4 linked regions of the Stegostoma tigrinum genome follow. The protein of the gene in region 4 interacts with the protein of the main gene of each other region in a pairwise test. Links are inferred from orthologs where the notes say so. Each region holds a gene or a part of one and is shown on either strand. Other genes may lie near its edges.

Region 1 (7,359 bases), on a different chromosome or scaffold from region 4:
AATGACCCCCCATCTGCCAGTTGCTTGCAATTTCAACACATCATTTTGCTCTCACACTAACATTTCTGACCTTGGCCTGCTGCAATGCTGCAGCCAAGTCCAATGCAAGCTGGAGGAACAGCACCTTATTTTTCACTGAGGCTCTTTATAGTCTTCAAAACACAACATTGAGATAGACAACTTTAGACTCTGAACACTGTCCTCCATTCTGATTACACCTTACTGTCCACTCTGGCCACCAGCCATACACCGTCACCCCTCCCCCAGAAGTCTTTTTACACGGTTTGCTCTCAGGAGAGCTGACCTGTTTTCTGCTAAAAATACCAACCACCATCTATACCTTTTTTTAAAAACTTCCAAAGCAGTCCCTTTGTCCTTTACTCCAGGCACACCCACCATCTGTTCCACTTGCTCCCCCTCCCCATTATCAGCAGCATAAAGGCCGTATATTCCAGCAATTATCAGTTCCAAAGAGGCCTTAGTGTCAAAATATTAAATCTGTATGTCTTTCTACAGATGGTCCCAGACCTGCTGCTTTTCAGCACTTTCTGGCTTTATTTCAGATTTACAACATCCTAATGCTTTGCTTTTATTTGCACAGGAAATTGCCCAGCTCCAACCCTAACCTCACCATCAAACCTTCAGATAAGGGAGACTTTACATAGCCAAAGCCTGGCGCCAACTTTCTGACACTTCCTCTTACTGCCTCCTCGATCATAACCCCACCCCTGACCACCAAACCATCATCTCTAAAACCATTCATAACCTCATCACCTCAGGTGACCTCCCACCTATAGCCACCAACCTCATCATTCCCCAACCCCACACTGCCCATTTCCATCTCCTTCCCAAAATTCACAAACCTGACTGCCCAACTGCCTGCTCCTGCTACAGCCTCACTTATCTCTACTTACTGTCATGATTGTCTCCCCCCCCCAGTTAGGGAACTTCCCAGCTATGCCCTAGATACCATCCATGCCTTCCACCTCCTCCAAGACTTCATTTTCACTATGGACATCCAATCCCTGCACACTTGTAACCCCACACAGATGGTCTAAAAGCCCTCTGATTCTTCCCCTCCCACAGGTCCAACCAATCCCCCTCCGCAAACACCCTCATTCACTTAACTGAATTCATCCTTACCCTTAACAACTTCTCCTTTAATTCCTCCCACTTACTACAGACAAAAAGTGTGGCCATGGGCACGTGCAGGGGCCCAAGCTACGCCTGTCTCTTCATAGGAGATGTAGAACAGCCCCTCTTCTGCTGTTACACTGGCACTGTCACCCACCTCTTCCTCCACTCTATTGAAGACTGTATTGGCGCTGCCTCAGGTTTCCAAGAGGAGCTTGAACAGTTCAACTTTACTACCACCTTTCACCCCAACCTCAAATTCACCTAGACCATCTCCAATACCTCCCTCTCTTTCCTGGGCACCTCTATCTCCATCTCTGGTGACTGCCTCGAAAATAACATCTTTTTCAAGCTCGCCAACTTCCACAGCTACATGAACTACAACTCCTCTTACCCACCTTCCTGCAAGAGAGTGTGATCCCAATTCCTCCACCTCCACTCCCGTTCCCAAGACAGGCCATTCCACTCCCGCATATCCCAGATGTCCTCCTATTTCAAGGACCATAACATTCCCCACCCCTCTTCCAGTGATCGAAAATGACCTCAACTGCCTGTCTTGTGTTTCCTGCACTTCTGCCCTCACATTCCCTTCCCGCAACAAAAATAAAGACAGAATCCCCACTGTCCTCATATCACCCTACTAGCCTCCACATCCAACATATCATTATCCACCACTTCCGCCACCTACAATCCAACCCCAAAACCAAAGAGATTTTTCTCTCTCCACCCCTACCTGCCTTTCATAGGGACCACCCCCTCTGCAACACCCTCATTCACTCCCCACTAACCCCACCAACTTTCTCTGCAACCGCAGGAAGTGCTACACATGCCCCTACACCTCACCTCCAATTCCAGGCACATAACAAACCTTCCACATCAGATAGGGGTTCACCTGAACATCAGTCAGCTTAGTCTACTGATGCTAAGCTGCTCCCAATGTGGTTTTCTTTACATTGGTGAAACCAGGCGTACTCAAAGACCATTTCCATCAAGCATCTATGCTTTGTACACAAGCAATGACAACACCTTCTGATCACAAACCATTTTAACTCCCACTCCCTGGGTGACATGTCCATCCTAGGCCTCCTCCAGTGTCTCAAATGACACCACCCACAAACTGGAGCAGCAGCACCTTATATGCCACCTTGGGAGCCTACATCCCAATGGTCTGAACATGGAATTCACCAGTTTTAAAATCTCCCCACCCCCAGCATCATCCCATACCCAACCCTCTCTCCCTCAAACACAACCCATCCATCTTCTCTCTCACCTATTGTCCCTCCCACCTCACCGAACAATCCCCACCGCTCCCTACCTGTTATCACTTTCCACAACCCATCCCTCATCTCTATTTATTTCAGAGCTCCCTTCCCCAAGACGATCTGGACCTGAAATGTCAACTTTTCTACTCCTCTGATGCTTTCTGACCTGCTGTGTTCCTCCAGCTATACACTTTGTTATCTCTGACTCCAGCATTTGCAGTTCTTGCTATCTCTTAATGTTTGAACTTGAAATGTTTGAGTTGGTATAGAACCTACCATACAGGAAAATGTTCCTAGATAGTGAACTATTTCATGAGTAAATAAGAAAACAATTTGTAGAGCTGGATGAACACAGCAGGCCAAGCAGCATCAGAGGGGCAGGAAGGCTGACATTTTCAAGGCCCGAAATGTCAGCCTTCCGGCTCCTCTGATGCTACTTGGCCTGCTGTGTTCATCCAGCTCTACAAATTGTTACCTCAGATTCTCTAGCATCAACAGTTCCTACTATCTCTGAATCTATTTCATGACTAAATCCGGTTTGATTGAAATCCTGGTACTAGATATCTAACTAATTACTTGAAACAACACTAATCTTCTCGGAAACGTTAGCAAAGCAGTCAAATTGTGAATGGCGTAAATCAACTTCTCAATAATATAAAATTCACGGAACCAGTGTAACGAAAAAAAACCGCATCAACACACAAGAACATAATAAATAAAGGACACAACCTGATCAACTCAAAATCCCCATCGACGGAAGTTGTAAAAAAACGTAACCGTACTTTTACGAGATTCGTCGCTGATCATGCGCATATGACCCACAACACCACTTCGTCTTCCCGGCAGCGCCGACGGGCGGCGAGGATGCATTTCCATTTAAAAGGCCATTTCAATCGTTTCCTTTTTTTATTCAGCGCCTTTCATGACACAGGACATCTCACGTGATTTTGAAGTGTTTCACACAGCAATCAGTTTGAGCACAACATGTTCCAGAACCAATCATGCGATAATGAACAGACAATTAATATCTCTAATGATTAAGGGACACCTCTCTGAAATGGTGAAATGAGATCTTTTAGGGGCATCTGAGAGAGCAGACACGATCTTGGTTTTAAAATCAGAACAGTACTGAAAGTACAGCAAACCTCAGCATTATACTGGAGGATCGGCGTAAATTTTAGACCCAGAATGGCAGCCCTGTGACATAGAGGAGAGTGACTGTCAAGTCACGACTGACAACTACACGATACTTTCAAAAAGCATGCTGGTATATTGCAAAGTTACAGAAGCCAGTACAGACCGATGTATGGCACATCTATCATGTAATTTAACACACGATCTTAGTACTTTGCAAATCAGTCTGAGTCAAATGTTTCATAACTATGTGCGTGAAACGTTTGAATGGGTACTGTTCATGCGGAGGTCATGAACTTGTTTTGGCTGGTTACCTCCTGACTTCCTGTTCTCTTCTGAAAGTGTTCACTATTGTTTGTGTTTGAGTACAGTACATTCATCCATTAGTAAATTATCAAAATAAAATAAAACGTTTACGTTGGCTGTCTAATTCGCCTGCAACGCAAGAATTAGTGTTTAGACTTCCATGATCTATAATCCATGTTATTGATTCAACATGTGTTGGCTGCCTGTAGTCTTTCCAAGTCTGCTGACAAGCTAGATAGGAAATTAAGTTGTCATGAAGATGTATTCAAAATCACTGCAACCATCAAACTGGAGTGATCTTCATTCTCTTCACACATGACAGATGTGCCATATATTGCTCTGTATTAGGTTGTGTTGCTTTGCAATCCACCACCATGATCAGGAATGCCATTGAACTGGTATCTGGGCAAGACCATTCTCTCTGATGAAGGGTCTAGGCCCGAAACATCAGCTTTTGTGCTCCTGACTTGCTGCTTGGCCTGCTGTGATCATCCAGCTTCACACTTTGTTATCTTGGATTTTCCAGCATCTGCAGTTCCGATTATCTCTGAAGACCATTCATACTTGCCTTTCAAATATAAGTTATGTTAAGGATCATAACCCTTTCTCCATTGATGTTGGGTGAAATTGCAGTAACGCTAAGCAAAAATCTTGCCTTACTGCTTGAGCATGGATAATGGGATAATGAAATGATATGGGTCACTCTCTACATAGCACATGTGGTTATGAAGGTCCTTCTACTGCGAGGGTTGATATGTTTGGCATGCCTCACATCTGTTCCCAAGTCACTGAATATCCCAATTAATCTCCAGCAAGTACACAGATTCACATACTTACAATTTTGTGTGTTCAATACTCATGTGTCTCCAGTTAACAAAGTCTTCATATTTTGGTGTAATACTTTTGCTATTAGGACAAGTTTGTTTTTGATGATTTATGATACAGCAAGTGAGCATCTATTTGGCCAAAACGAACAAGTCTTCTCAGGCATTTCATCAATATTGTTAGACCATCCTTGGATAATTTATTTTGCAACTCTCATAGCTGCTCAGCTTTGGCAGTTATCCACTACAATTGTTCACACAGGCTTTCATCAAAGTGTAGCAGATCAATCTTGAGAATCTTGAGAATCATCAACTTCATTGTTTAGAGCATCAATCCATAGATCAGTCAGAATATCTTGGTCTTCGTGGGGGTTGGCAAATCTTCCCAGCATGTTGGATGTAATCAGCCTGATATCTGGCTTATACTTCATTTCAATGCCATATCTTTGAAGATCATTGACTAATTTGACTGCACTGTGAGTGGTTTGGTTTGATAGAGTGGGTGTGGTTTGAATCTCAAAGTATTATACTGAGATATGTTAATACAGGTAGTCATCTTACAATGTAATAGTTGCATTCTTGTGTAACCTCAAGCTGCAGAAAATCACGCTATAGAAAATTGCCAGAGAAAATCGTGTTATACGGAAATCACTATACCTATACTGCAGAAAGTTTGCATTATCCAAACAGTGTCCACCATTCATCAATCGCGTTACAGCCAATTTGCGTCAATGAAAGACACGTTATAGCAGAATTACTTGCCACTGCTGGACCACTGGCATCTACCAGGTAGAAGATTTTGGGAAGCCAAGATGAGTTTGCATATTAGCACTACACTGTGATTCCTCCAATGCATGGAACTGGTGGTCCATGGAATTACATATATTGTGGTGTTATAGAGGTGAGGTCATCGCCTCTCTGATAATTAAAACTGAAAAACCCAGAGAAGCTTCCCTCACCTCATAAACACTTAAAGGAAGTGTGAAAAGTGGTACAGCCTGCCTTTCACTACCAATCTGTTATAAAGGAACGGTTAAATGAAAGAAATCCCTGATACTCACTTTATAAGCAACAAGAGATAATTTATTCATCTAACTCCAGCAGTGAATAAATTAACAGAACTACTAGCAAACCAAACAATCCCCCTCTTAACTGCTAACTAATCCCAAATAAAACAAAATTCAGATGCTATTATAACAAGGTGTAGAGCTGGATGAACAAAGCAGGCCAAGCAGCATCAGAGGAGCAGGAAGGTTGACATTTCAGGCCTAGACCCTTCAAATGCTATGCTGTTCCAATAAATACAAGTCCCACTTATATAAAGCAAAGTAATAAAAAAACTTAGCGCCTCGAAATTACAGCCAGAATAAGTCTTCTAGAATGTTCTTTGCCTTCACTGCTGTTTTCCATTTAGGAATGTCTTTCTCAGTTAAATTCTTGAATTCTTATCTCAGGAATATCAGCTAAGAGTGCTGTCGTACCTTTGTTTAGATGCTGCTTACTCTGAGAGCTTAGAGGTTTCTGTGAGACTCTGATTTTCTCTTCAGATGGTTATTCACTCCCATACCAATTTTCAAATACTCTCTTCTTTTATACCCTTGATGACCTTTTAATTTCTTCCAATAGGATTGGTCCTATGTTGTCAAAACTATCAGTTTTAGATTTAATTGGGTTTTGTATCTAGGGCCTCATTTAAATTAATTGGCTAAATTCAAAAACCGTTTGTCTTGGCAAAAATGCTGCTTTGCCTGCTAACAGTCTAGCCTTTTGATACATTGTTTCAATTTCAAGTACTCTCCGTTCATCAGCAGCTGCCTGCTGACATTTTTGTTTAATCTCCAATCTAAACAACACATCATCTTTTAAAGGAAACATACACCTTTCTCCCCTATCATTTTATTAACAGCAAAAACGCTATTCAACTTTGCAACATTGGTATGTTTTTCAGGATATGTAATGGTTGTAAGTTGACCCTGGCTCCCATTTCAATTTTAATCTTTAGTGTGTGTTGTCCTACCTTTTCAGGCCGTACAGTATAAATGGTTGTAAAAGTTTCTGATCATCTAAGATTGTTAACATGGTGTATGAGGTTAACAATATGGAAAGCTTGGCATTTTCTGAAATTTGCCTTTGGTGCAGTTGACTCTGAACCTCAACAATCATTCACATTTGTGTATATTAACACTTTCCTTGTTGCCAGTGTAACAATGTTACATCGTGTTGTTGGTCAACTGTACTTTGTTTAGGGTTATGTCTTGGCCTTTGTAACTGTATTTCATGCATGTAAATATCCAGTGACCCTTGGTATCTGAAATAACTTCATACAGGCCAGTATCCCATCACCAAGTCACACTTTATTTACAAGTGGAGAGTCCTTGACACTGATCCAGCTCCCTGAACAGAACTTCTGACGCTGCTGTTTATATCAAATGTTTTACAGGTGTCCAAAGTTGTTCCTTAAGTGTGAGCTGCTGGCTATAGCAATTGCGCTAGTCACTCCAATGCATGTAATTGTTGTTGGCCTGTCACTATGGTTTCATACTTGGATCCATCCTCAAGTAGTGCATCAGTACATGGCCCTTTGACTTGCCCAAAAGATACTTTCTAATGATTTTAATTGGGGTAGAAGTGACAACAAACTCAATATAACTGTCAGTTTTTCTTCAGAAAGTCACATTCACACCTGTTGCTGAAGCACT
Region 2 (8,362 bases), on a different chromosome or scaffold from region 4:
TAATGGGAACTGCAGATGCTGGAGATTCCAAGATAATAAAATGTGAGGCTGGATGAACACAGCAGGCCAAGCAGCATCTCAGGAGCACAAAAGCTGACGTTTCGGGCCTAGACCCTTCATCAGAGAGGGGGATGGGGGGAGGGAACTGGAATAAATAGGGAGAGAGGGGGAGGCGGACCGAAGATGGAGAGTAAAGAAGATAGGTGGAGAGGGTGTAGGTGGGGAGGTAGGGAGGGGATAGGTCAGTCCAGGGAAGACGGACAGGTCAAGGAGGTGGGATGAGGTTAGTAGGTAGCTGGGGGTGCGGCTTGGGGTGGGAGGAAGGGATGGGTGAGAGGAAGAACCGGTTAGGGAGAAGACCTCCCACTGACTGAGGACGAACGGTCAGTCCTGAGCAAGGGGCTCACCTTTGTCCCCCTACAACCACACATCAACGAATACCAGTCACGGTCGGACATAGAGCAGTTTTTCCGCCGTCTTCGCCTGCATGCCTACTTCTTCAACCGGGAACCCAACCCTCCTTCCACTGACCCCTTCACCCGCTTCCAACACAAGTCCTCCTCCTGGACACCACCCCCAGGCCTCCTACCCTCCCTCGACCTCTTCATCTCCAACTGCCGTCGAGACATTAACCGCCTCAACCTCTCCACCCCTCTCACCCACTCCAACCTCTCCCCCGCAGAACGGGCAGCCCTCCGCTCCCTCCGCTCCAACCCCAACCTCACCATCAAACCCGCAGACAAGGGTGGCGCAGTGGTAGTATGGCGTACTGACCTCTACATCGCCGAGGCCAGACGCCAACTCTCCGACACCACCTCCTACCGCCTCCTCGATCATGACCCCACACCCGAGCACCAAACCATCATCTCCAACACCATTCATGACCTCATCACCTCAGGGGACCTCCCACCCACAGCCTCCAACCTCATTGTTCCCCAACCCCGCACGGCCCGTTTCTATCTCCTTCCCAAAATCCACAAACCTGCCTGCCCTGGTCGACCCATCGTCTCAGCCTGCTCCTGCCCCACCGAACTCATCTCCACCTATCTGGACTCCATTTTCTCCCCTTTGGTCCAGGAACTCCCCACCTATGTCCGTGACACCACCCACGCCCTCCACCTCCTCCAGGACTTCCAATTCCCTGGCCCCCAACACCTCATATTCACCATGGACGTCCAGTCCCTGTACACCTGCATTCCGCATGGAGATGGCCTCAAGGCCCTCCGCTTCTTCCTGTCCCGCAGGCCCGACCAGGCCCCCTCCACCGACACTCTCATCCGCCTAGCGGAACTCGTCCTCACACTCAACAACTTCTCTTTTGACTCCTCCCACTTCCTACAGACTAAGGGGGTGGCCATGGGCACCCGCATGGGCCCCAGCTATGCCTGCCTCTTTGTAGGTTACGTGGAACAGTCCATCTTCCGCACCTACACAGGCCCCAAACCCCACCTCTTCCTCCGGTACATTGATGACTGTATCGGCGCCGCCTCTTGCTCCCCAGAGGAGCTCGAACAGTTCATCCACTTCACCAACACCTTCCACCCCAACCTTCAGTTCACCTGGGCCATCTCCAGCACATCCCTCACCTTCCTGGACCTCTCAGTCTCCATCTCAGGCAATCAGCTTGTACCTGATGTCCATTACAAGCCCACCGACTCCCACAGCTACCTAGAATACACCTTCTCCCACCCACCCTCCTGCAAAAATTCCATCCCCTATTCCCAATTCCTCCGCCTCCGCCGCATCTGCTCCCACGATAAGACATTCCACTCCCGCACATCCCAGATGTCCAAGTTCTTTAAGGACCGCAACTTCCCCCCCACGGTGATTGAGAACGCCCTTGACCGCGTCTCCCGCATTTCCCGCGACACATCCCTCACACCCCGCCCCCGCCACAACCGCCCCAAGAGGGTCCCCCTCGTTCTCACACACCACCCTACCAACCTCCGGATACAACGCATTATCCTCCGACACTTCCGCCATTTACAATCCGACCCCACCACCCAAGACATTTTTCCATCCCCACCCCTGTCTGCTTTCCGGAGAGACCACTCTCTCCGTGACTCCCTTGTTCGCTCCACACTGCCCTCCAACCCCACCACACCCGGCACCTTCCCCTGCAACCGCAGGAAATGCTACACTTGTCCCCACACCTCCTCCCTCACCCCCATCCCAGGCCCCAAGATGACATTCCACATTAAGCAGAGGTTCACCTGCACATCTGCCAATGTGGTATACTGCATCCACTGTACCCGGTGCGGCTTTCTCTACATTGGGGAAACCAAGCGGAGGCTTGGGGACCGCTTTGCAGAACACCTCCGCTCAGTTCGCAACAAACAACTGCACCTCCCAGTCGCAAACCATTTCCACTCCCCCTCCCATTCTCTTGATGACATGTCCATCATGGGCCTCCTGCACTGCCACAATGATGCCACCCGAAGGTTGCAGGAACAGCAACTCATATTCCGCCTGGGAACCCTGCAGCCATATGGTATCAATGTGGACTTCACCAGTTTCAAAATCTCCCCTTCCCCCACTGCATCCCTCAACCAGCCCAGTTCATCCCCTCCCCCCACTGCACCACACAACCAGCCCAGCTCTTCCCCCCCACCCACTGCATCCCAAAACCAGTCCAACCTGTCTCTGCCTCCCTAACCGGTTCTTCCTCTCACCCATCCCTTCCTCCCACCCCAAGCCGCACCCCCAGCTACCTACTAACCTCATCCCACCTCCTTGACCTGTCCGTCTTCCCTGGACTGACCTATCCCCTCCTTACCTCCCCACCTACACCCTCTCCACCTATCTTCTTTACTCTCCATCTTCGGTCCGCCTCCCCCTCTCTCCCTATTTATTCCAGTTCCCTCCCCCCATCCCCCTCTCTGATGAAGGGTCTAGGCCCGAAACGTCAGCTTTTGTGCTCCTGAGATGCTGCTTGGCCTGCTGTGTTCATCCAGCCTCACATTTTATTATCTTTACTTCAGGCCTAGGTCCTTCTTCAGAAAACAGATTAGTGCACCTTCACTGTACTCCCCACAACAGCAAATTTTTTTCAGTAAAGAGAGACCAAAACAGCACATTATTCCACATGTAGTCAAACCAAAACCCCGTATAGTTATAGTATGGCTTCCTTACTCCTGCAATGAACGTTAACTTACTATTTTCCTTCCTAACTGCTCAGTAAAACAGTGTAAAAAGGATCGAAAACAGGAGTTGCTGGAAAAGCTCAGCAGGTCTGTCAGATTTTTTTCTTCACAGATGTTGCCAGACTTGCTGAGTTTTTCCAGCATCTTCTGTTTTTGTTCCTGATTTACAGCATCTGCTGTTCTTTCGGGGCATTTTTTTAAGTGTAAAACAGATGCCCAGACCCTTCAGACACCCAGTTCCCAATCTATGACCCTTCAAACAATACTCTGTGATTCTGATTTTTTTCTGCCAAAGTGATCAACTTCATACTTGTCCATGTTACACAATTTCTCCAATGTAATTTATATTTCCTCATTCCTGTAAATGCCTTAAGTGTGGCGCTGAGAATTGGATGAAAAACTCCAAACTAGTAACTTATACAGCTCTCATAACTTCCATGTCTTTGTACTCTATGCTGCATTTATGAAATCTAAGATCCCATATATTTTGCAACTCCCCTGCCACCCCACAGCCCGATTCTCCCCTTTAAAACTGTAACCTTCATTTTATATTGCCACACTGCATTCTCCTCAAAATGAATCACTTTACACTTACCTGCTTTCACTTTCATCTGCCATTTTAATGTAACCTGTATTGAGGATTATATAGAGCAAAACTAACTAATTGATTTCTAATTGTACCAAAACTGGGAAAATCAACAGCGTACCCGATGGAGAAGCAGAGAATCATTGATAGCAATTTCTGAACTTGTACATTTAAATGCAGACTTTTTCCAGTTTTGGAGGAATAACAACTGACAGTGCATGGAAGATGACCACCTTCAAGTTTCCATTCAACTCACAAACCATCTTGACTTGAAAATATCTCACTGTACCTATAGCAAAATTCTGGATTTCCTTAGTGACCAGTGCGGCAGATGTACAAACACAACACACACTGCAGTTTAATAAGACAGCTCACCAATACCTTGTCAAGGGCAGAGGGAGGCTGAACAATTGCTGCACTCACCTGTAACACTCTCCATTACATTACATCTATAATTAATAACATTACAACTATAAATAAATATAGAAAATAAACTGAATTCAAAATTGCCCAACCAGTATGATAGGATTTGGGGGATTCACATCCCAGATTATTAACAAACAATTTGTTTTAGAAAGTAGTTGCGGATTCGTAAGTTATGAATAATGAAAAAGTATGAAAAAGTATTTATGATAAGTCACGAAGCAAGCAGCACACCTAGTAAGGTTATGACACAATAAGGTAGACAGCAGTAAAACGTTAGGAATTCTAAGTCATTAAAGAATCAATAGTTATGATTTAGACATTGTGACGATTAAAGTCTCCGTTATGATTTATTAATTGTGAAGCAGAAAGACAGGAAAGTTATTATTTATAGCTTAAAGTTTTGAAGCAATCAGTGAGCCTCGTAATCTTACGTCCAGTTATTCAGTTAAAATGAAGCAATCAGTAAATCTAGTTAAGTTCTGCTATTACGTTATGAATCACAGTAAAACTCCGATTGCATGTTTAGGTTGTAAAACCCATTGACTAGCCAGACCCAGGATCCCACCCCCTCTCCTGACCAATCGGCTGGAGGTGGTCCGGAACCTCGGCCCAGAGTGATTTTACCCTTTGGTCAGGCTCTGGGAATTACTCACCCCGGTAGATAGGGCACGCCGAGACGCGGAGAGGGCGATCTGAGCCCGGGAGACGCGGCTGTTCCACAAGCCGCTCCATCTTACTCCCAACTGCCTGACAGCCGCCGCCATGTTTACTGTCTGTCCAGCCGCCGCCTGTACTACATTATCACCGCCTTCTGAGGAAGAGCAACAACAAGCGCGGGGCCCCCTTCAATGAGACCGAACAGCAGTAAAAGCCACGCAGGTTAATTTGAAAAGGAACGTGCTTTATTTGCTGTTATTGTGTAAAGGCGTACAGTAAGTTGTCCGTAGAATGGGGGTCCTTGGTGAGGGGCTGCTGCCCCCAGCGGAGCATGGCCTAGAGGTCCCACCCAATCTTGATTTTGACTGGTTAATATTGTGATGTACTGGTTTCTGATTGGTGGAGATCACCGTCAGTTAACAATGGAGGGGGCCTGACAGTCGGTGCTGCTTGGGATGGAGGTAGGTGCTGAGAGTCAGCAGCAACTGCGGCCTTTCGGCAGTGAACACAGTCTCTTGTCCAGGCCCGATGGCTCGGCCTGCTTCACACAAGGTAGGTGCTAGCCCTTTACCTTGGGAAGACTCTTTCAGACCCTACTCTGTCCCCCCCCCCGCTTACCCAAGTCTTATTGTAATGTGGGACACTCACTGTGGGAAGGCAGGTATGAGGAGGGTGGTGTGGGGTTGGGATTCTGGAGATTACAGATGGGGAGCTCATTTAGAGCAACAAGGAAAAATTATAATTCATTCGTCTCTCTTCTGACCGACTCTCAGACTTGCATTCCCACTCAAATTACTCAATTCTCATTCTCCCACGTTTCTGATGTTTCAGCAAGTTATCTTCTCATTCTGCTAAACTCCATTGAGTTCAAGCCCATCCTACTCAACCTCTCCTCGTCAGATAATCTTCACACACCAACCCCCTCCCCCGACCCTGATACACCAGAGTCAATTGTGTGATCTTCTGAGGACTGGTTCAATGTCAGTATATTTTCTTTTAGATAGGAATATTTATTTCTCCTAAAGTTCTGTATAGATCCGCAACTAACTCCACTGCTCCTTGCATCTCTTATCCATTCGCCACGGCCCTGTGTCAATTTCAAAATAGCCTCACAGTTTCACACACTCTCAATATCTCTGCATCAGTTCCATACACTGGTAATATTTACTGTGTGACTCTCTTTCCCCACAGCACTGTATTATCCACAGCCAATATCACTGTTTGGCTGTGCCCATTGCCCTTTATTAATCTCATGTAATCATAGAATCATTACAGTTTTGGCCCATCGTGACTTGCAGGCAATGTGAACATAGTCCATTTGGCCCAACCATCTCATGTTGAGTGTAGCACAGTGGCTCAGTGGTTAGCATGTCGCTTCAAAGCGCCAGGGATACAAGTTCGATTCCAGCTTCCAGCAACTGTCTGTGTGGAGTTTGCACATTCTCCCTGTGTCTGTGTCAGTTTTCTTGGGGTGCCCCATTTCCTCCCCCAGTACAAAGATGCGCAAGAGATAGTAGGAACTGCAAATGCTGGAGAATCTGGGATAACAAAGTGTAGAGATGGATGAACACAGCAGGCCAAGTGGCATCTTAGGAGCACAAAAGTTGACGTTTCAGGCCTAGACCCTTCATCAGGTTTCTAAGGGTCTAGGCCTGAAACATCAGTTTTTGTGCTCCAAAGATGCTGCTTGGCCTGCTGTGTTCATCTAGCTCTATACTTTGTTAACAAATGTGTGCAAATTAGGTGGGATTGCCATCACTTGAAATCTTCAAGACCCAACTTTTGATTATTCTCATTGATAAATTTTCATAATCAGGGTGGCCAACTTGGAAGGTCATCCTTGATTTCAATAACACTACCCATAGAAATGTTGGTGAAATAGATTAGACTGAGATGCCAACACAACTAAAGCAGAACCTATGATTGAAGAACATTTTGCCTACTATCTTGTGCACAATTTATGTCAATTGGACAATCTATTTGTTATTACATTGCTGTTTGTGGGAGCTTTGCACAATTTATCACTGTCCATGTTTTAACATAAAATTTAGGAGCAGGAGCAAGCCATTCAGTTCATGAACCCCTGCTCTGCCAGTCAATAAGGCCATGACTAATCTGGTGGGCATAACCTCCATTTTTCCTGCTCATCTCCCTTAAGCTTTGAGTCCATTGTCAAACAAACATCTGCCTAACTCCAACTTCAATGTATTCAGTGACCCAGCTGTGACTGCTCTCTGGGGAGAGAATTCTGAAAAAGAAATTCATCCTCATCTCCATCTTAAATGAGAGATCTTTGTTCTCCGTTCTCCCAGGAATAGAAAGATCCTCTTGGCATCCACCCATGTCAAACTCCCTCAAAGTCTCCCTGGTCAATAGGTCATAACAGTTGCTGCACATCAAAAGTAACTAAAGTGCTTTATGGTGCCATTTGGTCATGAAAGGTGTTCAGCTATTTAAACATCAGTCCATTTTAAATCTTGTAAATGCCTCAGTGATGTGGAACTAGCTTTTTTCTAATTAAAAATTCTGCTAATTTTCTTACTTGTGAAGGAGCAACTGTGTCTATAAAGTCACATTAACCCTTTGTTGCAATGCTCCCACTAAGCAATGCCAACCTATGTTTACAACCTTTTGGATGCTTTCTTTGTAAACTTAAGGGGACACGACAGTCCTGGCTGCAGTGTATGGACCAGCAGAAGTAAAAGTCAGCAAAGAGATCTTCGACAAGGCCACGCTAGATGTCCTCCTAAAGCCAAAAGTTGGATTGCCAAGTAAGTGATGACCTCGTTCTTCAAGGACCGCAACTCCCCACACCGCGGTGGTCGAGAACGCCCTTGACTGTGTCTCCCGCATTTCCTGCAACTCATCCCTCACACCCTGCCCCCGCAATAACCGCCAAAAGAGAATCCCCCTAGTCCTCACATACCACCCCACCAACCTCCGGATACAACACATCATCCTCCAAGACTTCCGCCATCTACAATCCGAACCCACCACTAAAGACATTTTTTCCATCCCCACCCTTGTCTGCCTTCCGGAGAGACCACTCTCTCTGCGACTCCCTTGTCCGCTCCGCACTCACCTCCAATCCCACCACACCCGGCACTTTCCCCTGCAATCGCAGGAAATGTTACACTTGGTCCCACACCACCTCCCACTCTCCCCCAGGCCCCAAGATGACTTTCCACATCAAGCAGATGTTCACCTGCACATCTGCCAGTGTGGTATACTGCATCTGCTGAATTCGGCTTGGCTTCCTCTATATTGGGGAAACCACGCGGAGACTTGGGGACTGCTTTGCAGAACACCTATGCTCGGTTCGCAATAAACAACTGCACCTCCCAATCGCGAATCATTTTAATTCCCCCCTCTCATTCCTCAGATGACATGTCCATCCTGGGTCTCCTGCAGTGCCATAATGATGCCACCCGTAGGTTGCAGGAACAGCAACTCATATTCCACGTGGGAACCCTGCAGCCCAGCTTCAAAATCTCCCCTTCCCCCACTGCATCACAAAAACAGCCCAGTTCGTCCCCACCTCCCTAACCTG
Region 3 (7,396 bases), on a different chromosome or scaffold from region 4:
GGGTGGTGTTCCCATGTCAATGATCTGACATGTCTTCCAGAGGTTGCCATGGCAGGGTTGTGTGCTGTTGTGATCGGTGTTGTCCTGAAGGCTGGGCTGCGAACAATGATCTGTTTAAGATTTGGCGGTTCTTCTGCCAGACGACAGACACAGGATACAACTGATAGAGTACCCCTCGTCGTCCAGTACTTCCCCGGAGCAGCAGGAAGGTGCCATGTTCCTTGCAGCCTTTCACACGTCATAGATGACGATGAGCATCTCACCAAGATCTTCCCTACACCTCCACATCTTCCCTTCAAACAACCACCAAACCTTCAACTGATCACCATTCGCAGCAAACTAGTTCAAGACAACATCGACCATGACACTACACTACCCTGTCACAGCAACCTCTGCAAGGCACGTCAGAACATCGACATGGACACTACCATCACACGTGGGAACACCACCCACCACATGCACAGCAGATATTCATGTGACTCAGCCAATGTTGCCTACCTCATACCCTGCAGGCGAGCATGCTCGAGGCTTGGTACATCAGCGAGACCATGCAGACGCAATGACACCGGATGAATGGGCACTTCACAACAGTCTCCAGACAGGAATGCTCCCTCCCTGTGGACGAACTCTGCAGCGGTCAAGGTCCTTCAGCCTCCGGTCTTCGGGTAGGTGTCCTCGAAGACGGACTTCAACATACACAACAACACAGAATCACTGAGCAGAGAATCATAGCTAAGTTCTGTACCCATGAAGACAGCCTCAACCGTGAAGTTGCGTTCATGTCGCGCTACAGGTGTTCCTACCACACTGTTCTGTATCTGTCAAATCTTCCTCACTGTCCTGTTTTGATAGCATCACCTTGAAACGTTCTTATGATCTCTCTACCTTAATTAGTTTGCACAGTTTTGGTTTACTTATTATATTCTTTCGCATACAAATACACACATATGCACACATACACTCTCTCACACAAACACACTCTCTCACACACATAATACTCTCACACTCACATTCAAGCACACACGTACACACATTCACTCTCTCTGTCTCTCTCTCACACACACATAAAAAACTATGGGGTGAATCATTTCATCCAACATGTTTGTTTACATTCTATTTTATTCAAGAAACACACAATTTGTAGCAGTCAGTCAGCGTGGCACTTTATACATTCTTGCTTTTGGAAATAAAACCAGCCTGTCTCCAGATTAAAACTCTGAGATAAATTCTGAACAAGGCCTCACACCTACAATTCAGTGTCTGACCTGAGATGTCACCTTTTATATATTCCTATTGCTCTGCCTGTTTGAAGTGTGGGAAGTTAGGCAAACATTGATGAAAGCTTTAATTATCGCAGGGCAGTGACTTGAAACAGATTCTGGATTGTGCATCTTAATCAGTCGAAACTTGCGCCCCCTTTCTAACAGAGTTCTCCATACCCTGCTTCTGCAATTTCTAGAATGCAGGAATGTATGAAAATGATGAAAGATTCAACAGGAGGCAGGCAGTCAGCCATTTTAGGTTTGTTCACACACACCAGTTGTATGACCATACAATCCTTTGGTCTCTTTGCCCTTTATCTCTCTGCCTTTAAACTCTGTGCCTGTGTGCTCTCCTCTCACTGCACCTGATGAAGGGGTTATGCTCTGAAAGCTTGAGATTTCAAATAAACCTGTTAGACTTTAACCTGGTGTCATGTCATGTTTGCCTTTGGCCACCCCTGTTCAACACGGGCATCTCCACAACAATACAAGGTTAAGAATGGCCGTTTCGCTAGTTTGATTATCTATATATTGTTTCAAGAAGCCTCTTGGACACAGCTAATAAATTCTGCCACAGTACCAAAGGAGTCCCAGTCAATACTGAGGAAGTGGAAATCACGCATCACAATAACTGTTTTCATATCTTTCCATGATCTGCCAATATACCTGTTCCTCTGTCTCCAACTGGCTATTGGGAGGCCTATCTCTTATTCCTGCGTTCTGCCCACATGTCTAAAATAAGACATCTGCAATAGGGAGATTTTCTCCTTTTGTGTTATTATTAATTTATAAATAATTACTGAATTAATGAGTAATGTACCTAAAATGAATATCTGTATGGGCTATAAAGTGAAATTAACATTTCTCCTGTCTGAGCAAGTTAACCATGATGAGAAGTACAGACTCCTGACTGGTGGCAATATGTTTCTCTCACTGGTAAGCCCCACCACCACTCCATCTCGGACACTGACACCAATGCCTCTGGGCACAGACCAAGGGACTTCACGCAGCCTGTGTCCGTGCACGGTGGCATCTGACAATGTACCAGCGCTCCGCAACATCATCGCATATTTCTGATTCACTTTCATTACAATTCTGGTACGTCTCATTACAATGCTGCTCCATTGTTACAATGTGTGTAGGGACAGGCACATGGACTGGCCTGAGATGCATCCCTGGTCCATGTAGTTGTTGTTTTAGTCTTGCCATTTTGTGATTTTCTCTCTCAGACAGAATTTGTCAGCAGATCATACAAGGTGTGGATATCTTGCTTTACGGAACATTGCTATGCCTATCTCACAGCTGCACATTGAGCCAGTAGAGTACAGAGCAACATGGCTATCTGGCTAAATCACGCAACGGGGGGGCCATGGTCAGTTTGGAGAGGTTCATCTGTTAAAGATCAGGCTGAGGTAATTGGGCAGCCAGTGCTATTGATAGGTGGGTAGGTAACTCAATCAGAATTGGATGCAGAATGCTGGGATGCGAGGGGATGATACAACTAAGAGGGTACCTCAATACATAGACATGGAGAGATGATACAGCAAGGGTCGTGTTGCGAGGCGGTCATCAACAGTAGTGTACTACCAAATCTGTCATGTTTACTTGATGTGTTTGGAATGGAGGGGAATGAGGTGAGTGTCAGATGGGCAGATACAGACTCAAATAGACAGCTTGGTTGAATTACGAAAAATGGTCACAGGACTTGAAATGTTAACTCTGTCTTTGGTCTCTCTGCTCCTCTCCCCTGCTATACTCTGGATCTCTCACTCCTCTAACCCCTGACACTGCGGTACTCTAACTCACTGGTCCCCCACTCCCAACACTCTGCATTCTGACTACCTATTCCCCCCTGTACACTGGATCTCTATGCCCACCCCACCCCCGCCTGCCCCTCACTCTGACTCTCAGAAGGAACTGAAGGCATTGTTGCTAAGTTTGCAGATGACACATGAAAGGGGGAGGGACAGGTGGTGTCGAGGAAGCGGGGAGGCTGAAGGACTTGTATTTGAAATATGCAGCTTTGGGCCCCATATCTAAGGAAGGATGAGTTGGCATTGGAGTAAATCCAGAGGATGTTCATAAGAATAATCCTGGGAATGAAGATCTTGTCAAATGGGGAGCAGTTGAAGACTATGAGTCTGTACTCGATGGAGTTTAGAAGGAATGGAGGGATCTGATTGAAATTTACAGAATACTGAGAGACCTGGATCAGGCGGATATGGTGAAGATGTTGCTACTAGTAGAAGAGACTAGGACTCAATGGCGCAGCCTCAGAGGGAAAGGGTGATGACTCTTTGGAACTGAGATGAAGGGGAATTTCTTCAGCCTTACCGTGGTGAATCGGTGGAGGAAATCATTGCCTCAGAGGGTTGAGGGAGCCGAGTCATTGAGTGCCTTTAAGACAGGGATAGATGGATCAAGGGTTAAGGGGAGAAGGCAAAAGAATGGAGTTGAGAAACGTAACAGCTATGATGGATAGCATGGTGGCGCACAGCAGCAAGGACACAGGTTTGATTAGTTTGCACATTCTCCCCGTGTCTGTGCGGGTTTCTGCCAAGCGCCACGGTTTCCTCCCATGGTCAAAGAAGTGCAAGTTGGGTGGATCGGCCGTGCTAAATGGCCCATGGTGTCTGGCGATGTATAGGCTAGGTGTGTTAGCCATGAGAAATGTGGGGTGACAGTGACAGGGATAGGGTAGGGGAGGGCTGGGTCGGTGGGCCTGCTACTACACTGTAGGGATTCTATGAAATGGCGGTGCAAACTCGATGGGATGAATGGCCCAATCCTGCTCCAAAATGAGATGGTCTCTCTCTCTCTCTCTGTTCTGTGGTTCCCTGGGCTCTGTGATGGACAGGGCGCCCGCGGAGAGCGATGGGCCCCGCCCCTTGGGCAGCTTCCCGCGAAACTGACGTCACCTTGGTAACGGTTGCCCCGCGTGACGGCGCCAGGCGGCCTCCCATTGGCCGCGGCGCCACCGCTGACCCCGCGGCGCCCTCCGGAAGCGTTTGCGCGGAGGCGCGGGGCCGGTGTCCGGACGCGTGTCGGAGCGGAGCGGAGAGCTGAGGCGGGAGGGGGTGCCATGTCCGACTTCAAGCTGGGGATCGTGCGGCTCGGCCGGGCGGCGGGCAAGGTGACAGTCGGGTAGCGGGGAAGGGGAAGAGACAATGTGGGAGCTGGGAACGGTCGGCGGTGTGCCGCTCCCGAGCCGGCTCGCAGCTGCCGAGACTTGGGAGGGGGTGGGGCGAGACCGAGGCCTGCTGGCCGCTCGCCGCTCGTTGGGGGCCATGTGGCCAGCGGCCGGGGTGCGGGCCTGCACTCTCTTCCCCGACGGCGATACGAACTCTTGGGGGTGGCGTGCCTCCCGAATTCCTTCCCCCTGCTCGCTGCCCCGGGTTGACCTGAAGCGGCTAATGGGGGCGCGGTGTCCCTGTGCCGTTGCCATGTGCTCAGTCTGCTACGGCCTGGCCTCAGCCTGGTATCGGGGCTTGGCGAGGCACGTGTGGCTTGCCCTGGTGTCCGCGTTGCGCTCCCGCTGGCTGGGGGAGAGCCCAACTCCCTGCCTTACACTTGGATCAGTGAGGAATGGCCTGGACAGGGAATCCTCTTTCAAAGCGATGCCTGAGCGGCACGTAAAACTGCCGCTTCGCAAGGCCGAAAGAACTTATCCCTCTTTTAAAAGTAAATGAAAATTACAGTAACTCAACATTGATACAGGCTTTGCAGCGCGACTTGTTGACTCTGTGGCATGAGGAACTACTCAGCTTTAGGTAGCCATCAATTGACGAACCAGGTAACTTGAGCCGCTTCCAGATCTCATTCGTTTGCGATGATGAGGTCTGAGTTAGTGAACCTTTTTTTATTTGGTCTTTAGAATCCTGTGTATCCTTGCACAGCACAGCCTTGATGAACCTCTGCAAGGATTTATCAAATCTCCAGATCGTTAGGTTGTAAAGTTTATCTTCTCTGCATGACAGCAGTTCTCTGTCTCAGTTTAGGTGCACCAACCTTCACCTGCTTGCAAAATGTAATTCCTTGTGCCTAGTGATTCCCAGTGCATCAAGTTGCCTTTTTTAAAAATTTTGGTGTGATAGATTCAACATTGTCTGCTTCTAGGTTGGAGATATGCTATTGAGACACAATGGTGGAGAGCAATACACTGCTGTTGACTGTCTCACAACTAATGTGCAAGTACTTGATGTTGCCACATAATGTATATTTTAAATGGGAGAACAGTCTCAGTCCTTAACAGAATGAGCACAGGAGAACTGTGAAAAGTGCTTTGGGAGGTCTGGTTGCTGGTGCTGCCTGTAGATATTCCTCAGAGTTTAGTGATCTTAGAAAGAACCCAAAGTTACATTTTATAGTAGAATCAAATGACCAGAAGTGATCTAGAGGCTGCAGTTATACTGCCTGATTTGTATCCAGGTTGAGGGCTTTCCTCCCTGCAGAGATGTGAAGGTAAATTGCAACTCCATAATGGGTGCCAACCTGTCTGAAATGTGGTGGGAGAATCCTGGAATAAGATTCTAGAGACACAAAAACAATCAAGCGTTTGGCAGAAAGACCAGGAAAGAATTGCCAGCTAGGCATGAGCATGTCTGTATATGTGCTTTTCCACAAGGCCGGGGTCCCCCACTGCTGTACTATGATGGTTCAAATAGAAAGGACTTTAATAAATAGTACTATTTACAAAGCAAGGAGGTGTTTCTTAACTGGTTGATGCTTAGAATTCAAGCTGGTTAATTTTCGCCTGAGAATACCTCATCAGAGAGTAACCAATAACCATTATCTTTTCATTTCAGGCAAGGTGCTTATGAATCACAAATGTGCCCCCCTTGTCTCGCTTCTTGGAGCTAAATAGCCTTCCATTATTCTGTTCCAAATATGGCTACTTGATATGTTCCTGAACATCAGGTTTTTGAAATGAGTTGGGACTTATTTCCCCTTGAGAATTCTGGAGGAAATTGCAATGACATTCGGTTTTGTAATCCTTCTGATAGCAGTTACTGAGTTACATTGTGGGAGTTCTTGGGTAACAATCAGTAACAGTGGGGGTGAGAGGGGCATTGGAGGGCAGGGGTGTGTGACAGTATGAAGATGCTGGGATGCATTTGTCACAGCAACCATTGCCTAATGTCAGCTGCTTAGCATTATGATTCAGTTTCCATTGTTTTGACCCACTTACACTGGAGGTAGATTGGAGTTTGATGGTATGTTTTGCACTAATTCTAATCTTGCAAGTGTGTGCTCATTCCCTGGTTGCTTTTGTGATGTTCCCGTTTCAGCAATTGGGAGTTTGACCTTGTGTCTGCTAGTAACCATTATACTGCAGACTGGCTGTTATCTGTCTCCCCAGTTGTGCTCTCAGGTTTTATCGTTAAGTTGCTGCTTCTACAGTCCACACTGATCTTTCTTAAAAAGAGATTAACAAGAAATCTATTTCTGTTTTCAGACTAAGTACACACTAATAGATGAGCAAGACATCCCACTGGTGGAGAATTATACCTTTGAGGTAAGAGAGCATACAGACAGACTTCTGAAATTAATTTAACACTCATTTTAAGGGCCTCCTGGTTGAGCATCTTTTCAGTTGTCACACTTCTTTGTAAACTGCCTTAAAGGTGCTGCACAAAATAGAACTTGTTGCAGTTATGTCTAATATTAGACATGGTGCTAGGATATGAACTGTTTGCTAGGAAATGAGCTGGTTTGTTGTGACCAGTTATCACCAGGACTGTAGGCCATGAATGAATGATATAATGTGGTTACCAGACAGAGTCTGCTTGCACGAGACTGGGCAAATGGTGTGACTTGAGATGGTTTTCCCACATTGTAATGTGCAAATTTGCTTCAGGATACTCCTGAGAACCATCCTTAGAATGTCTTATTATATTGGAAGTGCTATGTGAATGGAACTTTTATTCTTTCATGGGATATGTGGGTTGCCGCTGAGGCCAGCATTTCTTGCTCATCTCCAATTGTATTAGAACTGGGAGGCCATTTTCAGAGACAGTTAAGAGTCAGTCCATTACCTTAGATTTCGAGTCATATATACATCAGATCTGCTATTATTGGTTTCTACAATGATCGATTGTTTCATGGTCATCACTACTAAAGCGAGTTTTGTTCCA
Region 4 (8,077 bases):
AGGAGTCGTCTACAAGCCCCCTATTAACTATTTCCCACCCACCAAACTATTCTTCATATCCACCCAAATTAATTCTACATCCTAACTTGCTGAATGTAGGTCATCTCTAACCATTGCTAATCTGCTATCCTTGTTTAAAATGCTATCTTCTCCATATTTACCTAGCCTCGTATTCTTCTTGAATGTAATATAGCCCACAATATTCAGGACAAAATGATGGTTTATATGTCATATTTATAAATTTCAGTGTGTGCTATCAATTTCTTTTTGATACAAATGCTACATACAAGATAAAGATGGAGGTATCAACCTGATGAAACCACCAACAGGACTACTTGCACACCAGACAGTGAAAGCAGCAAGTGATAGACAGAGCAAAGTGATCCCACAACCAATCGATCAGATCTAAGCTCTGCAGTCGTCCCACATCCAGTCATGAATGGTGCTGGACAATTAAACAACTCATTGGAGGAGGCGGCTCCACAAATTTCCGTATCCTCAATGATGGAAGAGCCGAGCACATCAGTGCAAAAGATAAGGAGCAAAAGAACCATTTGTAGCCATCTTCAGCCAGAAATGCTGAGTGGATGATCCATCTTGGCCTCCTCCAGTGATCCCCAGCATTACAAATATCAGTCTTCAACCAATTCAGTTCACGCCATGTGATATCAAGAAACGGTTACAGACACTGGATACTGCAAAGCCTATGGGCCCTGACGACATTCCAGCAATAGTACTGAAGACCTGTGGCTCCAGAACTTGCCGCTCCCCTAGCCAAGCTGTTCCAATACAGTTACAACACTGATATCTAGCCAACAATGTGGAAAATTGCCCAAGTACGTTCTGCACACAAAACGCAGGACAATTCCAACCTGGCCAGTTACCACCCCATTAGTCTACTCTCATTCACCAGTAAAGTGATGGAAGGTGTCATCAACAGTGCTATCAAGCAGCACCTGCTCAGAAATAACCTGCTCAGTGACACTCAGTTTGAGTTCTGCCGGGGCTACTCAGCTACTGACCTCTTTGCAGCCTTGGTTCAAACATGGACAAAAGAGCTGAATTCCAGAGGTGAGGTGAGAGTGACAGCCCCTGATATCAAGGCTGCATTTGACCAAGTGTGGCATCAAGGAGCTGTAGCGAAACTGGAATCAATGGGTATCAGGGGGCAAACTCTCCAGTGGTTAGAGTCATACCTGACACATAGGAAGATGGTCATGGTTGTTGGAGGTCAATTATCTTAGCTCCAGTACATCTCTGTAGGAGTTACCCAGGGTAATGTCCTCGGTCCAATCATCTTCAGCTGCTTCAATGACTTTCCCTCTATCATAATGTCAGAAATGGGGATGTTCACTAATGATTGCGCAATGTTCAGCACCATTCATGACTTCTCAGATACTGAAGCAGCTCAAATGCAACAAGATCCAGGCATTATCCAGGCTTGGGATGACAAGTGGCAAGTGACATTTGTGCCACACAAATGCCACACTATGACCATCACCAATAAGTGACAATCTTACCACCATCCTTTGATATTCAATGGTGTTACCGTCACTGAATCCCCCACTAGTCAACATCCTGGGGGTTATCAGTGACCGGAAACTCAACTGGACTAACCACATAAACATAGTGGCTACAAGAACAGGCCAGAAGCTAGGAATACTGCAGCAAGTAACTCACTTCCCGATTCCTCAAAACCTGTCCACCATCTACAAGGCACAACTCATGATTGTGATGGAATACTCCCCACTTGCCTGGATGAATGCAACCCCAACAACACTCAAGATGCTTGACACCATCCAGGACAAAGCAGCCTGCTTGACCGCACTACATCCACAAGCATCCACTCCCTCCACCACTGATGCTCAGTAGCAACAGCGTGTACAATCTACAAGATGAACTACATAAATTTATCAAAGATCCTCAGACAGCAACTTCCAAACCCACGACCACTTCCATCTAGAAGAACAAAGTCATCAGACATATGGGAACACCACCACCTCCAAGCCACTCAACATCCTGACTTAGAAAAATATTGCCATTTCTTCACCGTCACTGGGTCAAAATCCTGAAATTACCTCCCTAATAGCATTGTGAATCAACCCATAGCAAGAGGACTGTAGCAGTTCAAGAAGGTAGCTCACCACCACCTTCTCAAAGGAAATTAGGGATGGGCAAGAAATGCTGGCCAGTCAGCGATACCCACATCCCATCAGGGGCGGCACAGTGGTTAGCACTGCTACCTCAGTGCCTGGGAGCTGGGTTCAATTCCACCCTTGGGCAACTGTCTGTGTGGAATTTGCACATTCTTCCCGTGTCTGTGTGGGTTTCCTCTGGGTGCTCCGATTTCCTGCCACAGTCCAAAGATGTGCACGTTAGGTGGTTTGGCCATGCTAGATCACCATAGTGTTCAGGGATGTGTAGCTTAGGTGGATTATAGGGGGATGGGTCTGGGTGGGATGCTCCAAGGTTCGGTTTGGACTTGTTGGGCTGAAGGGCCTGTTTCCACACTGTAGGGATACTACGAAATGAATAGAGAAACAAAATACAATTAGATAGAACCTTTAGTTCTGACTTTTTATAGAACTTTGTAACATCTGTTGAGCCAAACGAATTTCACGAAGATACAAGCAGGCTGTACAGGGTTGATGGGCTATGAGCTTGGAGGCTGGGTGTGTGTGGAATCCCCAGATAAGATGAGATTAATAACCATTGTACAGTTAATAATTCAGCCTGATGTTTCCTGGTGGCACTGTAACCCACGGAAAATAGTTAGTGGTGTCTGGGAGATGGCATTCAGCCTCCACAATATATCAGTCAATAGACCAGACAACAGAAGCACCACCCTTATCAGCAGGAACAATTACAAAGTCAGGGTTGGGTCAAAGAGCGTGCAGTGCAGTCTGTTCAGAGGGATATAGGTTTGACTGGATGGGGGATTGAAGTAAAGGCAGCCAATGTCAGGCAAAAGCTCTCCCAAACAGGTCAAGTGCAAATTGGTAAAAGGCCATAGGAAGGGGTCCAAGTGGAGGCAGCGTATTGGAGGCAGGCCAAGAGATGTCTATTGGTCAGGGAGAGGACTCTTGTCCAAATGAATGGGCATGGAGGCAAAGAGAACAGCAGAAGAATTTAATGTCATGTTGTGCTATTGAAGTAGGGGCACAAAGGGGTAAAACGAAGTCCTTTCCTGAACACAGAACATTCAGAGAACAGAAGGTCAGAATGAATAGTAAATATCTGACAAGAGCTGGGATCAGGAGAAGGCAGCATCTCAGGAGCACAAAAGCTGACGTTTCGGGCCTAGAACCATCAGAGGGTTCTGCAGAACACCTCCGCTCGGTTCGCAATAAACAACTGCACCTCCCAGTCGCAAGCCATTTCCACTCCCCCTCCCATTCTTTAGATGACATGTCCATCCTGGGCCTACTGCAGTGCCACAATGATGCCACCCGAAGGTTGCAGGAACAGCAACTCATATTCCGCTTGGGAACCCTGCAGCCCAATGATATCAATGTGGACTTCACCAGCTTCAAAATCTCCCCCTTTCCCTCTGCATTCCAAAACCAGTCCAGCTCGTCCCCTCCCCCCCACTGCATCCCAAAACCAGCCCAGCTCATCCCCGCCTCCCTAACGCGTTCATCCTCTCACCTATCCGCTCCTCCCACCTCAAGCCGCACCTCCATTTCCCACCTACTAACCTCATCCTGCCTCCTTGACCTGTCCGTCCTCCCCGGGCTATCCCCACCTATCTTCTCCTCTATCCATCTTCGGTCCGCCTCCCCCTCTCCGATGAAGGCTGTAGGCCCGAAACGTCAGCTTTTGTGCTCCTGAGATGTTGCTTGGCCTGCTGTGTTCATCCAGCTTCACACTTTATTATCTTGGATTCTCCAGGATCTGCAGTTCCCATTATCTCTGATCGGGTGAAAGGCCTAATTTAAGTTAAGAGATAACAAGGCGTAGAGCTGGATGAACACAGCAGCCAAATAGCAGAGGAGCAGGAAGACTGACGTGGGCTTAGGTTAATGTAATACAAAAGGGTGCACTGTGAGAGATGTCATCTTTCAAATGAGTGTTTAAACTGATGCTCTGTTGGCCCTCTCAGTTCCAAACAAAAGATCCCATGGCATCATTTCGAAGGGCAAAGCTCTCAGTAATCCTTTCCGACGGTTACCTCTCAACCAACAATTTGCCAATCTGTGGGATCTTGCTATGTACAAAGCATTTTCCATGTTCCCCAGATAACTGCAGCTCCTAAACAAAGAAGTACTAAATTGGCCACCGAAAAATAAGTTTCGAAAAGTTCCGGACTGGTGAGAGGCTTTGTATAATGTACATGTTCTGTCTATCCTAGTTTTCTTTACCATCCTCCCGCAACCCCTCCATACCGTGACAGATATCCTGCTCCGCACCTACTTTCTATAAAGTCCTTGCACTCCTCCTTCAATTCTGTTGTACTTTGCGCCACCTCAGGGTCCAGGACCCTGAGTTTGTTGAGTTCGTCGAAGTGCAGGCCGGCCTCCCCGAGGGACTCCATCGCCATCAGAATCAACAATACCCTCTCGTCCCCTCTGCCGCTGCCACGGCGACAGCGACGGCTCTCTCCGCCCTGCTGCGCATGCGCGGTCACAGGGGGCGGGGCACCCACGGATGTCGCGCGTGCTCAGTATCAAAACTCACTCAGTCTCTCAAGGTAGTGTGGGTTTCTGCAACATTATTTTTGATCTTTCTTACCAGACAGATTCTGGAGAGCTGAAGAACTTTAGTTTGCCGTTTGTCCAGAGTATTGTATACAGAAGGATTTAAAAAGAAATCTCACTGCAACACAAAATAACGGTTGAAGCTAGCGAATCTTCGCTCTTTGTTGTTTTAAATGATCATTTATCGGCGAGCTCCAACCATCGGTGAGATGGCCTGGGCGACTGGACGGCACTTTAACTGAGCCATGAAAGTGCAATCCAGCGGCGGGAAATATATCTGCGCGCGTGCGCACTAAATCGGGAGCCGGCGTGTGGCTAGCGCGCGTGCGCAGTTAGACGAGTACGGACGGGATCGAAGTCACGTGTGAATGCCCTTGCGCCGGAAGAGAAGGAGGAGCGGAGGCGGTTTGAATGGTCGGCACGGCAACTGCTGCAGGTACTGGGCCTACTTCGGGGGTGGGGAGGGTTTTAACGAACGAATAAACAAACTCGCTTTGGACAGTGTTGTCAGAACAAAGTTCAGCAAAGCGGACTGAGCGATTGTCGATAAAGAGATGTCAGTGACCGCCTCAATGGAAGCGAGTTTAGGCTCCTCATGGCAGCTGGAAGAAGTGATCGTAGAGGATGGAACTCCCTCAAACTCGCCCCAAATCTGAGAGCTCTAAGTGAATTGTTTAAGCAGGCTAGGCCATTGGTTTAGGTTGAAGCTGGATATTTCCTAGGTTGCATCGGTTTCATCGAGTTTTCCCCTTTACCTCACCAATACTTTCTAAAAGACCACACTGTATTCGACAACAGAAATTTCTTCTCATGTTGGAAAGACCGAAGGAGCCTTCAGCTTTTGTTGCTTTCAGCCCCTTGGGTATCCATTCCACTCCTCTCCTCAGTAATTGTCTGACATTGAATCTGATCGTTTAAAACCTTTGTTTTGAAGCGAGTTTAGGCTCCTCATGGCAGCTGGAAGAAGTGATCGTAGAGGGTGGAACTCCCTCAAACTCGCCCCAAATTTGAGAGCTCTAAGTGAATTGTTTAAGCAGGCTATGCCATTGGTTTAGGTTGAAGCTGGATATTTCCTAGGTTGCATCGGTTTCATCGAGTTTTCCCCTTTACCTCACCAATACTTTCTAAAAGACCACACTGTATTCGACAACAGAAATTTCTTCTCATGTTGGAAAGACCGAAGGAGCCTTCAGCTTTTGTTGCTTTCAGCCCCTTGGGTATCCATTCCACTCCTCTCCTCAGTAATTGTCTGACATTGAATCTGATCGTTTAAAATCTTTGTATTGAATTTGACTTCAATATGAGTCCCAAACAAAGACTGCCTGTTTCCACCCCTGACTGTGGTTCAGCTCATCTGCTGAAACAAATGCATGTGTTTGCTACCTTTAGACACAGCTATTCCAATGTGTTTCAGCTTCTCGTGATTTACCCTTCAATACATGTATGTGCATCAATCCCCTTCAGTATCAACTCTGCTGACTTATCAACATTGGATCCAGTTAAGTAATACTTACATTTTGAAGTTTTCATCTTTGGTTTCAGATTTTGCCACAGCCTTGTCCCTCCTTATCTGATTTTGTTCTTATTTATTTAGTTTTATTTTATTTATTTTTGTCACATACCGAAACTGAAGAGAAGGTGCAGAGAATGATGAGCTCTAATATATGAGAGGTCCATTCATAAGTCGGATAACAGAAGGGAAGACCCTGTTCTTAAATTAGTTGTTACATGTTTTGAAACTTTTACATCTTCTGTTGATGGAAGAGGTGGGAGGGGTCTTAGATTATGTTGGCAGCTTTTCTGAGGCAGTGGGAATTCTAGAGCGAGTCAATGGAAGGAAAGCTGTTTTATGTGATGGTCTGGGGTCCGTTCACAACTGTGCAATTTCTTGTGGTCTTGGAAAGAGCCATACCAAGCTGTAATATGTAATATAGGATGCTTTCTATGGTGTATCTATAAAAATTGGTAAGAGCCATTGTGGACATGCTGAATTTCATTAACCTTCTGAGGAAGTAGAGGCATTAGAGTGCTTTCTTGACTATAGCATAGATATGAATGGATCAGGACAAGTTGATGATATTTACTTCTAGGATCTTGAAGTTCTCAACCATCTCCATCTCAGCACCATTGATACAGTCAGGGGCGTGTCCTCCACTCTGCTTCCTGAAGTCGATGGCCAGCTGTTTTATTTTGCTGACACAGAGAGAGATTGTTGTCTTTACACCATGCCACTAAACTCTCTATCTCTTTCCTGTGATAATAAGGTGTAGAGCTAGATGAACACAGCAGGCCAAGCAGCATCATCGGAGCAGGAAAGCTGACGTTTCGGGCCTAGACCCTTCAAATTCAGTTTAAGCTTAAATTTGTGAAGTACAAAAGAAACGGTAGTCAGCAGGAGAAGTGAAGCTAGGTTTTTTTTGGGCTTGGAAATGAGTATGTAACGGTTCAGATAAGGCACAGTTGATAAGTGAGAAAAGCATATTTAATGTCCATGCTAACATTGTTTGGCTCAAGATCTGCAGGTTATTCAAATGTAATGAAGCCTAAATTCTCAAAATTGCAAATATTCAGATAATAAAATGACGGTGAGCTGCAAAGAACTAGGTCGGCCCGAAATGTCAGCTTTCCTGCTCCTATGATGCTGCTTGGCCTGCTGTGTTCATCCAGCTGTATACCTTGTTATCTCAGATTCTCCAGCATCTGCAGTTCCTGCTATCTCTATCTCTTTACTGTACTCTGTCTTGTTTTTGTTTGAAATCTGACTGACATTGGTGGTGTCAACATGTAAATGGAGTTAGAGCTGAATTTGGCCACACAGTTGTGTGTGCGTAAGGCGTTTAATAAGAGGCTAAGCCTTGCAGAACAGTGGTGTTGAGTATTATCATCAAGGTCTTGACACCCATCTTCACTGATTGCAGGTCAGGAAGTCAAAGAACCAGTTGCAGTCAAGCGAGCAGAGTCCTAGGTCTCGGAGTTTAGAGATGAGTTTGGTTAAAATTATGGCGTTCAAGGTGGAGTTGAGGCCAATAAATAGTAAGTGTCCTTGTTATCTACATGTTTCAAGGATAAGTGTAGGAACACAAAAACGGCACCTGCAATGAACCTGATGCCACGTGCAATCTCCTCCAGCTTCTCCGACTCCCTGGATGCCTGTAATCTTCAAACTCTGGTCTCTCGGGTTTAGTTCCTCTATTGTTGGTGACTATATCTTACCCAGTCCAAGCCTCATTCCCTCCCTAAAGATTTCTGTTGTGTTATTTGTCTTTCTTCTTTTACTACACTTAAACCTACTGCTTTGACCAAGCTTTTGATCATCTGCCCTCAAATTCTTGTGGCTTGGTATCAGATTTTGTTTCTTGGCTCTGCTGTGAAATAAGTGC

What was found.
Region 1: the proteins of BTB/POZ domain-containing adapter for CUL3-mediated RhoA degradation protein 2 (region 4) and armc7 interact in binary tests that used the Homo sapiens proteins (3 or more experiments, as listed by UniProt). The link is inferred for Stegostoma tigrinum from reciprocal best matches to the Homo sapiens genes TNFAIP1 and ARMC7.
Region 2: the proteins of BTB/POZ domain-containing adapter for CUL3-mediated RhoA degradation protein 2 (region 4) and exosc5 interact in binary tests that used the Homo sapiens proteins (3 or more experiments, as listed by UniProt). The two-hybrid records come from large-scale screens. The link is inferred for Stegostoma tigrinum from reciprocal best matches to the Homo sapiens genes TNFAIP1 and EXOSC5.
Region 3: the proteins of BTB/POZ domain-containing adapter for CUL3-mediated RhoA degradation protein 2 (region 4) and zmynd19 interact in binary tests that used the Homo sapiens proteins (3 or more experiments, as listed by UniProt). The two-hybrid records come from large-scale screens. The link is inferred for Stegostoma tigrinum from reciprocal best matches to the Homo sapiens genes TNFAIP1 and ZMYND19.

What each region holds. Positions count from the first base shown.
Region 1 is NC_081370.1:17,570,617-17,577,975, reverse strand, and holds the start of armc7 (armadillo repeat-containing protein 7), read right to left. Parts: upstream 3,233-7,359; 5' UTR 3,126-3,232; intron 1-3,125. UniProt on the Homo sapiens protein: As a component of the minor spliceosome, involved in the splicing of U12-type introns in pre-mRNAs.
Region 2 is NC_081392.1:8,364,453-8,372,814, forward strand, and holds the start of exosc5 (exosome complex component RRP46), read left to right. Parts: upstream 1-5,221; 5' UTR 5,222-5,267; coding exon 5,268-5,364; intron 5,365-7,469; coding exon 7,470-7,583; intron 7,584-8,362. Other genes in the region: bckdha (2-oxoisovalerate dehydrogenase subunit alpha, mitochondrial), read right to left, coding at 4,809-4,919. UniProt on the Homo sapiens protein: Non-catalytic component of the RNA exosome complex which has 3'->5' exoribonuclease activity and participates in a multitude of cellular RNA processing and degradation events.
Region 3 is NC_081382.1:6,619,438-6,626,833, forward strand, and holds the start of zmynd19 (zinc finger MYND domain-containing protein 19), read left to right. Parts: upstream 1-4,264; 5' UTR 4,265-4,344; coding exon 4,345-4,395; intron 4,396-6,717; coding exon 6,718-6,777; intron 6,778-7,396. UniProt on the Homo sapiens protein: May be involved as a regulatory molecule in GPR24/MCH-R1 signaling.
Region 4 is NC_081380.1:36,808,384-36,816,460, reverse strand, and holds the start of BTB/POZ domain-containing adapter for CUL3-mediated RhoA degradation protein 2, read left to right. Parts: upstream 1-4,690; 5' UTR 4,691-5,133; intron 5,134-5,992; exon of another isoform or gene 5,993-6,195; intron 6,196-8,077. Other genes in the region: ift20 (intraflagellar transport protein 20 homolog), read right to left, coding at 4,414-4,540. UniProt on the Homo sapiens protein: Substrate-specific adapter of a BCR (BTB-CUL3-RBX1) E3 ubiquitin-protein ligase complex involved in regulation of cytoskeleton structure.